Linked DNA regions of Caenorhabditis elegans. The protein of the gene in region 1 purifies or fractionates together with the protein of each later gene. This does not show direct contact. Each region holds a gene or a part of one and is shown on either strand. Other genes may lie near its edges.

Evidence for each region.
Region 2: the proteins of ptp-3 (region 1) and plx-2 purify together in Caenorhabditis elegans (affinity purification with western blotting, with the first as the bait; one study listed by BioGRID). This does not show direct contact.

What each region holds. Positions count from the first base shown.
Region 1 is NC_003280.10:10,972,916-10,979,664, reverse strand, and holds the start of ptp-3 (protein-tyrosine-phosphatase), read right to left. Parts: upstream 4,097-6,749; coding exon 3,829-4,096; intron 3,480-3,828; coding exon 3,338-3,479; intron 3,293-3,337; coding exon 3,052-3,292; intron 2,649-3,051; coding exon 2,435-2,648; intron 2,288-2,434; exon of another isoform or gene 2,138-2,287; intron 1,208-2,137; exon of another isoform or gene 999-1,207; intron 1-998. UniProt on the Caenorhabditis elegans protein: Has a role in early neural and epidermal development; neuroblast movements during closure of the gastrulation cleft and epidermal morphogenesis. Vab-1 and ptp-3 may function redundantly within the same sets of neuronal precursors.
Region 2 is NC_003280.10:14,418,075-14,427,815, forward strand, and holds the start of plx-2 (Plexin-2), read right to left. Parts: upstream 6,818-9,741; 5' UTR 6,808-6,817; coding exon 6,658-6,807; intron 6,524-6,657; coding exon 6,396-6,523; intron 6,351-6,395; coding exon 5,874-6,350; intron 5,826-5,873; coding exon 5,567-5,825; intron 5,523-5,566; coding exon 5,358-5,522; intron 5,150-5,357; coding exon 5,015-5,149; intron 4,962-5,014; coding exon 4,827-4,961; intron 4,783-4,826; coding exon 4,125-4,782; intron 4,063-4,124; coding exon 3,908-4,062; intron 3,859-3,907; coding exon 1,942-3,858; intron 1,321-1,941; coding exon 1,164-1,320; intron 1,116-1,163; coding exon 945-1,115; intron 896-944; coding exon 429-895; intron 380-428; coding exon 200-379; intron 155-199; coding exon 1-154. UniProt on the Caenorhabditis elegans protein: Involved as a receptor for mab-20/sema-2a in the formation or stabilization of cell-cell contacts at several stages of epithelial morphogenesis. In early embryonic development, required for proper ventral closure of the epidermis.

The DNA.
Region 1 (6,749 bases):
CATACTTTATCACAACATCAACAGTAAACTAAATGACCCGAGAACACTAAATGATGTCTCAAGACCCCATTGAAAGTAATGGGAGACAACACATTCGTCTAATCAACACTAGTCGGAAGGACAAGGATAAAGGTAGTTCAACTTGTTGATTTACGGGTACCTCCTCCCCCAGAATGAAAAGAACAGATGTCACCGGAAACAGGCTGGAAAATGAATGAGTAATGGGAATGAAGAAGAAGCGTGTGTTGTTGAAAATGAAAATGAACCACCAAACTGTCATAAACACTAAATTGTCTGCGTCTCCTCATCGTGATATACACTATGTATTTCCATTAACTTATGCAAACATTTCGCGCACTTTTAATTTAATTGTTGTTGTGAAAAGATGGAGAAGCGTCGAGATTTACAACAGTTTACTGATTAGGAGAAGCAAGAGGAAATCTACCGGAAATTAGGTGGTTTGGGAAGATTTTTAATTTAATATAGTACAATTAAGGGATTATATTATTTATGCAACAAAAAGGGATATATACAGTTTAATAGTTTTTTCAATAAGGTTGTTCCATAAAATTAATCTAGAAATCTCTGTTCTGAAAATTTGGTTACTGTACCTCATTACTACAGGCTCCAAAAAATAAAAATTAATTTTTGAAAAGTCTTTAACAAATTGAAAATTTTTAAAGTAATTTTAAAATCGATTCAAAATGTTTTTACTGTCGGCTATAAGTTCAGGCATAGTTTTGTGACCTTTGAGAAAATTGGGGTATTTTTTCAAAACTTTAACACTTGATTTTTTTATTTCGGAGATTTTAGAACTTAAAAAATGGATGAAGGAAAAATGGACAATAATATTAACTTGCAACTTTTAACTTTCAGAAGTGTAAGGCTGTCAGAGGAATTATGGTAAATTCTGGAGAACATTTTGAAAATTTCTCATCTCACGAACAATCTAGATGTGAGCCATAGAAATCTAGAAATGATAGAGAAAGTCCAAGTAATGATAATGATCAAAAGACAAGACATCTCTCAACACAAAAGACGACAACACCGGGGAAGAAGAATCATCGAAATTTGTGGCCGGGTGTCATAAAAATGAGAAATTGCTGGTCATCGGGTGTCGTCGTATGCCTGCACACATAAAGCACACATGTCGGGAAGGCGCCTAGATGACGACCGACATCTTCCAGATGACCTCCAATTACTAGTGATGGCTCACAGTTTGAGCACAGAAAGATGGAAGCTAAATGCTCGATAGATATCCGGATGGCGGTTTTTGGACGATTTTATTGACATTTGGAATTTATTTTATGATTGCCAGATCTAGAGAGGAGCTTGGAGGGTAAAAAACTATGAAGAGATTTTTTTATTTAAAGGTGTAGCAATCTGTCAAAGAAAAATTTCAACGCAAAATTTTCCAAAATTTACACTTTTGTTTTGAAAGGTTGGCACTTTTCCAAAATTTTGACTAAAAATGCTTAGAAGCTCAAACTATTTCAGAGTGTTGGCAGTGTTGTAGACTCAAACAAAAGTGTTTCAAAATGTATAGAATAATTTTTCGAATTTAAAAATTTGGTTGAAATGGCTGGAATTTGAAATTTTAGAGCTGTATCTTACAAAAAAAAGTCTCTGGAACTTTAAAAATTTAACTCGATTTGAAAATCTACCTCACTATGTATTATTGAGTCAGAAAACGGTTATATTTCCAAAAATAGATCAGAAGCAATGTTTTAGAAAAAATCACCTATTCTAAAGCTCAAAGCTTTAAAAAAATAAGGTCATGCTGAAACAAAAGCATTCCGCTCAAATGAGCACCACCGATATAAATGCTCATCAGGGAAAAATAGAAACTATGAAAAGTTATATTAAAAATACTTCAACTAGCAGGCCTAAAATCTAGAATAAAATTCGCTCACCGAATCAAACATAAATCAGTGAATCACACCTATTCTCATCAATTTCTCTCTGTTTCGCCCTTCCCACTCTATGTCATAAAAATGAAAATCACGAAGAGAACAAGTGACCGAATAAAAGTGACCAAGAGGCGCAGATATCAAGCCACATGCTCAAACAAATGCAAATGTGATCGCAACAAGAAGAGGAGGAGGAATGGACAACCTATTTTAATGCAAATTTGAACAGTTTTTGGCTGGGGCGCCTATTTTAAATTTAGTTAGGATGAGTTGACCCCTCTCGAAGTGCGAAATTTCAATGAATAACTGAACAAGTTAGGCATTCCAGTTTTTCAACAATTGAATTTGGATCATTATGTATTTCTAAAACAACTTAAACTTTTAAAATGCATTAACTGAAAAAATTTTGATTGTGTGTGAGCATATATTTTCAGACATTTTTTGGCACCGTAATTTCTGGTTTAAAATTATATAAAAAATTTTTAAAACATCCCTCCCTCAAAAAATCCCCATCCCAAACTAACCTTTAACATAAAGATTTGCGGCTTTCGAGTGAGCAACTCCTAATGTATTCCTTGCAATGCATTCGTATTTTCCCTGATCTTCTTCTCGAGCATGCTGAATCATCAGGGCTCCAGGGTTTCCGATTGTACTTACAGAGTATCTACCATCTGCACGAATGTCTAGCGGGATCAGGTCACGGAGCCAAAGGACTTTTGCTCGAGGATCTCCTCGGACCTGAAAGAATTTTTTTGAATTTGATTTTGGAATCGTTAACATTTTTAAAGTTTTTTAAAAAAATATTTTTTTATTTGTTTTTTTTAATTTGAAAACAGCCGACATAGTTTTTAGTATTTGGTTTCAGGTATATAGGGTAATTCCAGATGTGCTATGATATTTTGGTGTTGGTAACTTTTGGTATTTGTGCTATTTTTGCTATTTTAATCCCATTTTAACTCCATATTGAATTGTTCTTCTTTCAATTGTTAATTTCTTCAAGTTCATTTTTATTTCCGAAATATCATATTTTTAAAAGTTTTTAGCATTATTATTTGTTGATAAAATTTTAAAATCTTTTCATAATACATACAACGAATTTCCCATCTTAAACGCAACTATTTTAAAATTTCAAAAAACTTACCCGACAAGAGACATAAGCAGTTTTCCCCTGTTCGACCGACTTCAATGATGGATGAAGTTCAATTTGAGGGAACCCAATCGGAACTTTGTCTCGTGGGACAACGGTTAGTGATGCTTCTGCGACAACTGGATTGGCAACTCCATTATCAGCCGAGCAGGACACAACAGTCGCATTGTCATCCAGAGAGACACGTTCGAAACGGAGAGTCGATAAGCCGGTGGCCAAGGATTTTATTGATATTCTGGAAAATTTGTAACAGTTATATATTTCAATGAAGCCTTAATACCGATTATGATCTGTTATGGATTTTCCATTGACTCTCCAAATCACACTAGGCAACGGATTTCCATCTGCTCGACAGAAAAATGAGATTTTCGATTCATCGACGACGGTTGATGAGTCTGGACGGACGACTAGTCGGGCGGGGTCTGAAGATTATAAAAATAGAAACTGTAAATATAGTTCACTTGAATTCTTGCCAACAATACAACTTAGAATTGAATCCTCCGCATAAAACTGCGCTTAAATTTGAAACTGAGCTGGAATCTTAGGGAGTATTACAGCTTTATCCGGGCCTATGTGGTTGCAAAAAAAATGAATCTGAATTATTTTCCTGATTTTTTCCTGATTTTACAAGTGTCTAGGGGTAGTAAAGCTTTTTGAAACATTTTTTTAATAAAAAATGTTTTCCAATTTTTTTCTGAAAAAAAATTCCAAAGGTTTTTCTGTTTTCTCGAAAAACCATTATTTTTCAACCAAACCTGCACTATAACTTACACGCAAGAGCTTGAATATAACTCTGATAAGCTTCAGCATAAAGCTGATTATTTGTAAACTCTTCCTTCCGAACCAACGGAATTCCCCCGTCCTGCACATCCTGATTATCAGGTGGCTCTTCATCATTCCACCCGAAATCCTCATCCTCTTCCCCCAACTTACCGTCCTCTTTTGCCGCGACCAGTACGGTACTTAGCATTAGAAACAGAAGCAGCGACGAGCCTTTTCGGCGTGCCACATTTCGTAAGTGACGCGCTATCCGATTCATACTGTTGTTCTTGTTTCTGAATTGGATCATGATGTTTTTCTGATTAGAGAGATACACCCATTTTTGTTGGAAAATTTTTTAAAGTTTTTTCTTGAATTAAATTAATTTTATTTAATTTTTAATTTTTATTCGCGCTGCTTTCTGATCACAGAAGACTTTGTTGGGTATGAGGATTTAGAGGTGAGGATCTGAAATTTTAAATGAAAATTGTTAAGGGAACAGAAAGAAAAGAGCAGAAGTGACATCAACTACATAATCAAAGTTCAGGAAGCACAAGAGCATGAAACAAAAAGATATGAAAGGCCGATTAAAAAGCCACCACAAAAATTTTCCAAGCGACCTGGAAAGCCGCGCAAATGGGTTGAAGAACAAGAGGAAGAGAGAGAAAAGAAAAAAGTGGTGTGGAGAAGAAGGGGTCCCAGGGATTTATTTGGGAAATGGAAAATGTTGCTTTTATTAATGACCATTGCGCAAGGGCAGGTGAGGGGGTCATTTGGAAGGAGCTGGGGGCTTGGCGCGGGGGCGAGAGATTTGGAGAAAGGAGATGATAAATCTAATTGAGAAATCAAGGGAACACAATTATGAAATAGAGGGGTTTACAAAAATTTTTTCTTTATTCGGAAATAGCTCAGACTTTTATCATTTTGCATAACCTTTTCACAACCATTTTCATGTATATTTTTAGATTTTAAAAATTCAGACAATATATAGCAAGTTGGAGAAGCCTAGTTGAATTGGGATTTTTTCAATTTAATTCCTTATCATAGTTCATGGCCAAAATGTCATATTTTAACACAATTTTTTTTGGTTTTTTTTTTTTGAATTAAGAAAAGTAATACTACGATATTAGTTATTTTAGCACCATATAAATCAAAGTTCAAATTCGAAGTTCTAAAAATGCAAACAAAAAATTTTTTGAATATGTGAATTCTAAGACATTTTTGTAAGCGCTTTGTTTCAAGTCCCGTTAAAATCACCCCTGCCACATTCGCTTCTCTCAAAGCTTAAACTTTGAACAACTCTGCAAGAAAATAGAGAGTGTATAGAAGAAGAAGAGACGCAGAGCAAAAACATGCAAATGGCGGGACAAGACTAATCGAGGAATAAGGGGAGCAAAATGAAACAATTTTACTTCTATTACTATTACTCTTCTAGATGACCCCCATGTAATGAATGAATTCACACCAAGAGGTTGGAGTTGGAAAACTTTGATAGTTTATTTTGAGAAAAGGGGGAGAACTTTCTGTAGAGCAGGTGTTAAATTATAGTTTAATTAGTTTTCAGTGAACAGGTAATGTTCACAATGAGTCAACAGATTAAGGGGGTTTTGATACATCAAAATATGTTTTTAGAGATCAAAATGAGATTTTTTTTTTGAGAAAAATTAGACAAACCAATTTGTGAGTTAGTTCTTGAACATCAGCCGGATTCTGTAAAAGGTTCGGAAAATTTCAACTCAAATTCATCTTGCCACAATCTAGATTCTCTCAAGATCAAGCTCAAGCGTAATTGAGTACAAAATCTATTTTATAGAAAGCTGCATAGAAAGCTGCATTGTATTGGATAATCGAAGTCATTTTGTACTGTAAAATTAGGTTCAATCTGGGCAAACTTTAGCAACACTTGAAAAAAATGGGAAACCTTGACACCTTGAAAACTGGTCTTTAATAAAATGGAAATAATAAGTACCTTAAATACTGATGAGTTCAAGCTAATATCTGAGTTCTGTCGAGTTTTAAGGTTAAAATAACTTTTGAGCACCGTCCGGGCAATTTCAGAGGAGGGCAGCGGCACCGTCACGCCCGAACGGAATGGAATTTCTAGTCAGGGCTAAGTTTGGCAAAATACAGTAATATCTATCTAATTTTATGAAAGTCTTAGAGTTCAAGAAGAGCATAAAGCGGAAATAAAAGTGATGTTGTCTGCAAAATCTCGGGTGTGCACTTTTCCTCCACCGCCTCCACCATTTAGTGATGTGAATGACAGGAAGGAATGTGTGTAGTGAAAGACCAATGGACCTCATCATGTTCGACGTCAATCTAAGAGAGCTTCTCCTGCTTCTACTGCTACTACGGGCGCAAAACGGAAGGGACGAGAAAAAGTTGCCGAATGGACAATAGGCACTCCTTGGGGGATCACTAGAGCACCGCTATGGTGCAACCGATTATATTCACGCAGATTTTTGTTGTTTTTTGTTGTGTTGGTGGTTTTCAGAGGTGGTAGGGGAGAGAAAGAGACATAGAAAGAAATGGAAAAAAAACGGCAAAAAGACTTAAAGCGGTGGCAATGTGTCCGGAAGGAAACCCCTAATGCGAATCAAATGAAATCACTTGATTCATGTTAGAATTTATCACTTATAATACAGTTATTCAAAAGTCAAACATAGCCTTTGAGTTACTATATGATATTGTTAAAATTTTGAATAGTTTTTGAACTTTGCCCAATGGGACTTAATTACTTGACTTTTTCCAATTTTAAAATATTTCAAAACGTACATATGTTCATTGAAAATGCGCGGGTAATTTTATTGCGAACTGTCGAGATCGTAACAAAAAACTGAAAATATATCTAAAAATGAAAATGGAACATTGTTCGGTACCCATCCATTTTTGTAGGAACTTGGACGACTTACAGAAATTATTCATCGATTTTT
Region 2 (9,741 bases), 3.4 Mb from region 1:
AAACATGGAGAACTTGTGAGAGTTTTTGAGGCAAACGTTGTTGGCTGAACTGCTCATTTGAGGATAACAGTTGGGAAATGCGAATTCCGTTTCCTCGAACCCAGGACAGAAGTTCGGAGAGCGCTAGGGAAGATCCTTTGCACGTGGACACATCCTGGAAAATTTACTAATATATTATGTTAAGCATAAAATTGCTCACATTGGCCATGTTCACCAACTCCGTTCTCAACTCATCCATTCCTAGTGGAGGACTATTTTTGACTCGCTTGAATAAGTCCACTGAAAGGGGCCGGAGCCTCGCCACGTCTTTTGCAAAAAGAAGTCGAGATGACGGTGAATGGGCTCCGAGAACAGGTTCAGAGAATGAGAAGCAATCCATCTGAATTTATTTGTCAGAAAATAATATAACAGAAAAGTGATTCGCTCACCATAGTTTGCGCTACTGTACTCAAGTTTGCATCCATGGAAATAGAATGAGGAACATCGAACACCAACTGCGGATTTCTAACAAAATTGGCCCAAACTCTGAGAACGTAGCCATTAGCCTTCCATTGCTGACAAATATTTTCAGAAACTCCGTTCACTGAAGCTTCACGATCCAAAATGTCAAAGAAGAATTTTAAAATTGGCGGGTAGCTTGAATCGTGCATGTATAGTACGGATTCTAGGAAGTCTTCCACATAAGTTTCTACTGTTCCCTTTGAAGTGAGCAACCTTGTTAGGTACACTTCTGGAATAGATTTGGGTAGCAAATTGCTGTCGTTTGAAGATTTCTTCTTGAAAGTCATAGTTCCAGATGACGGATTTGTTAGGTGATAGTATTTTGAAGATGAATAAATTGGAGAGCATCGATCTAACGATGACCAGGAAGATTGTCCAGAATCTGCGAGAGAATCTGAAATTTTAAGGGTTATATTCAAATTTTGTTTCTTCAATTAACTCACTTCTATAGCTTTCCGCTGTATAAACCGCTGGAGACATTTCCAGCGTACAGCCATCACTGATACCGTAATCTGCCAAAGTGAACAACTTTACTGGTAGCTTTTTCTGCGATAACGTCTCAATTGGCAAAACATCGGTCAGTTTCACATCTCCCCGTTTGGGACATTTATATTCTGAAAAAAAACTGATTGAAGACACATATGGGATTATTTATGACCCACTCAATTCGAACTGCGTTATTCTCGGTCGCTGTGAATATGGTGTTTCACGATAGACAGCTGAAGCAACTTTTTGTTTGACTTGACAAATTGCGTCGCATGCATGAACTTCAAGATCTATTGATTCATCGCATTTTTCAAATGGAATCACACGAATTTTCTGAAAATTAACCAAAAATAGCATATCAATTAGACTTGCTTTCCCTTTTCCTGTGGGATCAACTGTAAACGTTTCAAAACTGAAACAAAGGTATGTTGTTAAAATGAATTATATATTTTCTGATTAATCCAGGTTAAATAACTATGTAAATTTGTTACATCAATTCACAATTTTGTGGAATTTCTACCAAAATTCGTTTCTTCCGATAATAAAATTTAGTAGCCGTTCATAATAACCGTTGATTCTCTCGTAGTCTAGTAAACTTTGAAATAATAGGAAAATATTTTCTCACTATTTCATCTTATATACTACGTTGTTATTTTACTAACCCGGGTATACTCAAATTTACTAGAACTACTTGACTACAAACTACAAGTGCGACATTTGTATTCACTATATTTGGGTAATTATACTTGGAATAAATTATAAAAATGAGTTTTGAACTCGTAGTAAAAAACATCTAGTAAGATACAATAATAAGATACAAAGCGTAGTAAAAAAAATCACCGTAGTAAAAGATACATTGTAAAGTTAAAAATCATCTTTAACCTCTATGAGTTTAAACACTTGTGAAACTTTTTATAAAACCTTGAACATTTGAAAATTTGAAAAAAAGCTCACCAAAGTCTTTGTGTCCACACTCTCCCTTAACAATTTGGCCTCGTTAATCGTATATCTCGCATCACCGGTCACCGCGTCCACGGGTCCTTTGTCAGTTTGATATTGTAGCGCCTTATATAGATAGAAGTACGAGTTCATTTGCGGAGTCAAATGGGAGTACAAACAAATGCTCATCCACTTTGAGAACATTTTCTCCACCACCGAGTCACTATTCCGAAACAGTAACTCGGCGCGCTTATTTTGAACCGATCTTGCGATATGGGCACGTAGAAGGTCCACAACAACTTCAGTGCAATAAGAGAAGTTTCGAAGTAACACAGATATCAGGAGGCTTGCTAACATTGACTTCTCTGATGTTGATATGGAGACATCCGATTCTGCAGCTTCTACGATAGTGAAAATAAAGCCTTTGAAGCTCAGAAGTGCATGAAATTGAGCAAGAGTCACTGGGAGAGTCCTTGCCAAACTCGGCGCAGATGTAAGGTTGTTATCAGACCAGAGCAGGTTCTCCACAAAATGCGGGAAGTTGATGAGTTCCGGTCCAAGGTTCACAGAATTTGCAGACTTTGGAGATAGTACTAGGTTTGTTTGAAGTTCAGCGAATGCTTGCTTGCATTCTTTACGAACATTGTTTTCAAGATTTTCCATTTGAAGCTGAATCTTTCGGTATTCTTTCTCTCGTTCTTGACGCCTCCGCTTGAAAACCAAGCACATCACAGTCAACGTGACAACAATGAACAGAAGTAGCCCAAGAATCAAAAGTGATAGTCTGGACGGGAGTGCATGATCGGAATACTCAATCAACCCAAGCTCCATTCTAAGTGATCCAACTATTACAGTAACCAGCGGGTTATCCCCATTAATTGGAATTCCTCTTTCATCGGTAGCTTTTGGTTGCCTCACCGGTCCCGAGCACACCAATTGCCTAACATCTACAAGTGTCACGTAGCATCTCTCATTTCCAATGAAGATCTTGAAATCATTTGGCTCCGCAGCAAGATTTAGATTGTGTCCTTCAAGAATGAGTGATTGTTCTCCCTGATGATATCGTACTCCTTTGAACGGAGAAAGCGTCGGATTCGGATAGATGCCCATCTGAATTCGTCTTCCCAAATTTGCTACAGCTGTGACATTGTCCATGTGAAAACCCACAGGTTGCCGTGTATACTCAACTCTTCTAGTGATTGTTTCCAAAATTTTTGGAGTCATACAAGTCATTAATGTAGAGTTAATGATGTGACATGGAGCCAGATCAGATATTATATAAAACGGAGGTGTTGGAGATGATATGAGGAATAGCTTTGCTGTTTGAACAGTGTTCAATGAGTTGCCTTGAACATAAACAATTCTTCCGCCGGCTTTGAAAGAAGTCATCGGGAAGATTGAGCTAATAGACGGGTCCGATCGATATTCAAATGGTTGATCGAGTTGAGTCTGGGAGTGATCCACATGAACAACTACTCTAGCAGATTTTCCAATTCGAGTTCCAGAAGGTGTTAGACAAGTCAAAACTGTTGAAGAATTTACCCTTTCAATAGGACACGGCATGCCACCAACTGTCACAGAGGTTTGAGATCCACTTGATAAGTTCTGACCGTACAGAGTTATTCGAGTTCCGCCAGATATTGGGCCATACAGGGGGTAAGCGGAGAATATTGATGTTCTTACAAACGAATATAGTTCCGATGATTCTGCTACTGCAACTGTTGCCCGACCAACTGATATCCTGATTGGGCCCGAGCTGACACCTTTGTCGACTTGACATGCAATCATGTTAGAAACATGATACTCCACAATATTACATCTAGAACCGGCGACATAGATCTTTCCACGAACGTCTTCTACAGACATGCCCAGGTCATTCCCATAGATTTTGATGATTGTGCCTCCTTCGATGGGCCCACTTGTTGGTTCGAACTGAAACATTTTTAAATACAAGATATATACGTATTCATATCATTTTTACTTTATCGATTCTTGGTGGATCACACACAGCAGTGGCCTTTGACTCGTGGCACTCGTGGGAGCACTGTCGATTACACCATCCACATGATAGTGAAGGGGAAAGAGCAAGACAACTGGAACAGTCAGATGCCAGGTTGGTGCAAGAGTAAAGGGACACTGAAAAGCAGTTCAATTAAAGTATGTATTGTAAACTGAATTCACAAATCTCTGGTACTTACCATTAGCAATATCAATTACAGAGTCCCTTGTGATCAGGCTCAACGGAACCACCATGTTTGCACTCGTAGTGTTGCTCAAAGTCAACTGAATCTTGCCACAACGGATACTATCGCTTGCAATCTTTGCAAGAGACACTTGCTCGTTTACTTTACAAAAATGTTCGTGCCTTCGATCAAGAGTATCCAGGTTAGACGCCTCGAGCACGATTTCTTGTTGAGAACCGATAGCAATTGGGAGCCTCATTGGTTGAATTTTCACGCAGGCTTTTGATTTTTCCAATGCCCCACAGGAATTCGAACATTTGTGCAATCCAGAGCACCAGGCACAATTGTACTCAGAGCTCATACAGGACGAGCATGTACCGTAACCCGAGCAATCGTAAACTGTGAAGTTGTGACGGCTGATTGGATTATTGGAAATTGATGTTAGCAACAAAATTTCAAAAGTGTTTGGTGATGTAAAAATTTCCGATGGGCATGAAACTCCGGTCGTTGTCCAGTTAGCTTTGATAGATGATGTTGATGTTCCGAATTGGCATCTATAAGTGAAACCGACTGGAGGTGGAAGATGGTGAATGTTGAAGGATATAGGGGTAGAGGAGTTCACGGAGACTATTGAAGGAATCGGATCACCATCGACAATTGGACACTGAGAAGTCTGAAACGTGTATGCCAAAATAGAACAAAGATAAACTTGCTTACAACTGGACTAGTACACCTTGCTGAAGTCGTACACGATTGCGTCGGATGACACCATTGGCAGAGTGGGTCTACAGAGACTAAGCATTCTGTGCATGAGCTGTGATGAGAGCAAGTGGAAAGCTCTTCTAATATGATCTAAAAAACCAAAATTTGTTCTACATGAAACCCTTTTTTCAAAATAAACTTACTCCATATGGCATCTGCACAATGACAAAATCCCCAAATTTGACCATTTTGCTGACCTCGCTCCCAGTTCGCCCATCTCCAACTTCCTTTCTACCGTACTCTTCCAACTGGTTTGAATGGTGCTCGTCCCATTTAAACTAAAATTGTTTGTAATAGTTTTTTTAAAGATCAGTCCTATGATTTCAAGAAATAATCCCTTTGTGATATGCATTTGATTGACATTTGTTTTCATATACATTTTTGAAGATTAAAGTGTCATTCGAAATGCTGTTTAGGGTCAGCGACAATGATGGATCACAAGCAGTTAGTCGTGTGAATCTAGCTAGCTTTTTTAGTAAAATTTACCATCACAATCTGCGAAGTTGTTGTTCCCGCGAAAATTGCTTTTTGATCTACAGCCATCAATGACGTCACCTTTCCCATAATGTCTTTTGTGGACATCTCAACAAGTTCAATTGATCCACCAACACCGAGCTCACAGCTATCTTCGTCGAGGGGTATGTGGGCTTTCTGAAAAGCGAAATAATTTCTTCATTGAAAAACCTAAAACTTGCATTAACACATTTTGTATCTCTCCCGATATGAGGTAGTCTAATCGAATCAGTACCACTTCTACACCTATCCACATTGTACCAAAAAGTCAGCTTCACTTTTTGCATCGAAAATACACAAATGGAACTTTTTGGAGATGTGGATGATGTTGAGAACGATGCGATCAGCTTGTCGTAGGATTGAATGATTGCGTTCAGAAATGGATAGTTGGTATTGTCCTCTCCGCGGCATTGAAGTTCGATTTCAGAGTAGGATTCAAATCTGAAAATAGGGATATAACTTTTGCTAATTTTTGGCCTAAACACCTACTTTGTGTCATTTCGGCAGAATCGTATCAACCTGGTTGTCATAGGTAATCTTGACTCTCTTGGTGTGACCATGGCGACCACAAACACAAAATGTTGATGCGTAAAGGTGTACAAAAACTTGAATGCATTCTTGTAAGCTGCTCTCAGGAAAACTGCAGCTTCTCCTTCCAGATCACCGGCATTCTCAACATTCAGACCGGGCAAGTTTCGAATTGCAACCGCTGGAAACGGGTCTCGATACGGAGATTCTTTCGTTGCACTTGCCGCAACAATTAAACGATTATCGATGATTTTCGATACTGTGGACGCGTCTGGAGAATTCGCGGCAACTGCGATAGTGGATTCAGTGATGAGAGATAACTTCGAATTGAACGTGGAGCATGACCCGAGCTTTACAGAACCACACTGAAGAATTTGATTTGTGGGAAGGATTTGTAGGATTTTTGTGCGAACATCTGTTGGGAAGGGGCGATTGTCTCTGAAAATAATAATTTGGATAAAGACGTGATGTTGATTAACTAGCTTTAAGCAAGATTTTCCATCTGCAGAGCACCAAGGAGAATCTTGAACCGGACCGAGTGAAACCTCATGTTGTATTGAAAAATTAGAAATTGATAAAGATGTTAGTCGGTTGAGAGATGCCACGTAGATCTGAAAGATTAAAATTACTCAGGTACCAACTATAGGCTTCTGCTTAGGCTTATTAGGCAGGCAGAAATGAGGGCGTGCCTAGCTTTCAAAAATGATAGTTTTCTCAAAATTCTCGAAATTGTGAGATGTCCTACCGTTTGTTGGTCCCTCGAGACAATAAAGTCGTCAATGTGTCCAGAAAAATGAAATAATTTTTGTTTCACGCCTTCTGTTTCAAAGGGCGGCTGGGTTACCGCCCGCAGAAAATGGCTGATTAGGAGAAGAAACACCGATTCGGGGAGCATAATCGCATTTCTGAAAATAAGAAGATTTATGATCATTTCAGAAAAAAAGTAATAGAGAAATTTAAAAGAAGTTTAGCCAATTCAGAAATTTGAAAATAAAGGTACTAATATGCCTGCATGTTTGACTAAAAGGCGATTAACTCCTAACTTCTACCAACTCATCGAAGTAATAAAACGTGACACCAAAAAAGAATTTACTAACCTCAATAGTATTTTGATTAAAAATTTTCATGAAAAACCAAAAATGCAAAAACTAGGTTAATTCATTCCAAAAAAAAATGTAATAAATTTTTCCAACATAAGGAAATACCTGTGTCCAATGTCTCCCCATTCTTCAATAACCACATAACCTATAAATCACTTGAAACGTGAACGAATTCAATGTTTAATTGTAATGCAATACAATACTTGACTGACCATTTCCATCATGATCAATCAAACGAAAAAAAGTGAACCGATGGTCGTCGATGAAGCGAATCGGTTAGACATTTTTTGTGCAGACATTTACAAAATGGTCATTTGTTTGTTACGTTTTGAAGAAGTACATTTGGATTAGTAAATACAATTTATAAATTTCTCATTTTATAGATTGTTTGAACCAAATTCAGAATTAACTAGTAGTGACCAAAATTTTTGTAGTTCTAGTTGTATAAGGCATAGATCACCTTGTAGGCAGGCAGGCAGTTATATTTTTTGAATAGAAGCCGTAGCCTTTTGGAGGTCCGTAGAGAAACATGTAATATTTTAAAAAGAAACGGAAACGTAAAATGAGGGGAAATGAGTAAAAATGACATAAATGTAATCCCCAAATGAGTTTTCGGTCCTATAGGGTCCAAACCAAAAATGGAACATGAAACTGAGAAGCAAAAGAAGATATGAAAAAGAGCACAAGCAAAAAAGAGCAAAAAATGGGATGGACAATGAAAATAGATGGACGGACAAGGGGAAATGTGTCAGGAGGATCCGGAGGGACTGGGTAAGCCGGGTTGGGGGAAAATGAAATAGAAATATGTATGTACATACGAAAAAATCTGAAACTAGATAAATATTCATTAATGATCACTAACTCGGCAGACAGATGTTCAGTTTGTATTTGCGAAAAGTCGGGTAGAGAGCAACCCGCGAATTATGTCAAAGAAAATGATTAATGAGTTTGATTCTAATCGATCACATGGTGAGGACTCCGGAACAGAGTGTGTAAAGTTTATAGTATTGATTATTGAAATAGTGATGGTTATTTGTGGGGCAGTGGGATTTCATTTAAAAAAAAACTCCTTTAGTGCTAATATTTCAGAACGCCTTTACACAACATTTGGCAGTTTTGGGCCATATGGGTCTAGACTAAAATTTCACAAAAATTCAAATAATTGAAATAATTTGGATTATATCTTGAAAAACTGCCGACTGGTACAAAAATAAAAATGCATGCACATTAGGATCATTAGTAGGTGTTCTATATAGACTAAGGAAGCGTATATATATACAGCTAAGCCAAGACAAGGCACAAGCTTATGAGTTAATGAGTTAATGAGCTGCGTGGCAGGTGATGACGGCGGAGCGCAAGAGACAACGGAAGACGGTGTCAAAAACAAACAGAGCGTGTTCTAGGGGTTAAGTAGGTTGTGAACCTATTAACATGAGAGTTTCAAGAAGAACTAAGAACACATGTACATAGGAAGGTTTTGCTCAATTGCCGGAGTTCCCTTATAAACATCGTGTCTGGAACCTAGTAGCGTTGTTTAAATTTTTTAAAAATTAGTTTTGTCTTTCGGTAACTTTCGATTCTTTGTAATTTTTCTACCAGCCGCACAGCCTTATTGCAAACTGAGTAACTGCTATTTTCTGACTGTAACTTTTCAAAAAACTTTATTTCTGCATAGTGAAATTGGCAGATTCAGCACTATTTTTGTAATCAAACCAGATTTTGCCTTACAAGTTTGCTTTGTTAGGACATTACAATTCTAATTCGATGAGATTGAAAAATTATTGTTGCCAGCTATCTCGTACCTATAAAGTATAAAGTTTTTATGATTAGATTAACACTTTCTATTGGGCAATCAAGTGGTGTAATACTTTCATGAATGTATACATGTGTATATGCCATAAATATCATGTGTGGTCAGAATGAATTATGCAAATTCGCTATGGTAAACACGTATATTTCAAAGTTAGGAAATTTGACTGGGTTTCAAAAATTTCAAAGACTAAAAAAAAACACTAAAATAATATATCCTACTATAATGATGATGATGACACCCGTAAATTTCCGCTCAAAACCGGGGGAACAATAGGATAATTGGTTATGAGTGTGTGTGAGCACATAAAGAGCACTACTGAATAACTCGGAAAAAGATGGGGACAATGAGAAGAGGACCGTATATATATGCAAATAGCTGGATATAACAGAGAATGGAACAGGGAACTAGTATAGAGACAGCTGCCCAGTTTCTAAACATTGACTTTCGACAGAATGTTGGTCGTAAATGATAATTTAATTTTGATTTGAATTGTTTATTCACAACCTGTTAAACAATTTTAATTGTCCAGGCATTTAAGTTAACGCCTTTTTCGTGGGCGGAGATTAAGAGCTACCCTTATAGTTTTTGAAATTAAGATGTGAGAAAATATTAAATAACTTTCAGAAACTCAAATGTTGTTAGAAACATGATCGAGCAAAACAGTAGAAAATGTTCATCTTGGAAACTTCGTAGAGTGAGAAAAAATGCGAACGATGATGAAAAGAAAATGATGATGAATCACTTTACTGCGTTGTACGCGTTGAGTACGACGATGGTAAATGTGAGCAAAAGGTTTGTAGTCGCAAGTTTGCACAGTTTACAACCAGACCAGTAGTGGTCTTGAAACATGGTGATCTAAATGGGAAAAAAAGCAAAAAAGGAAAAAAAGACAAGAGGAGAAAAGTCAAAAAGTGAG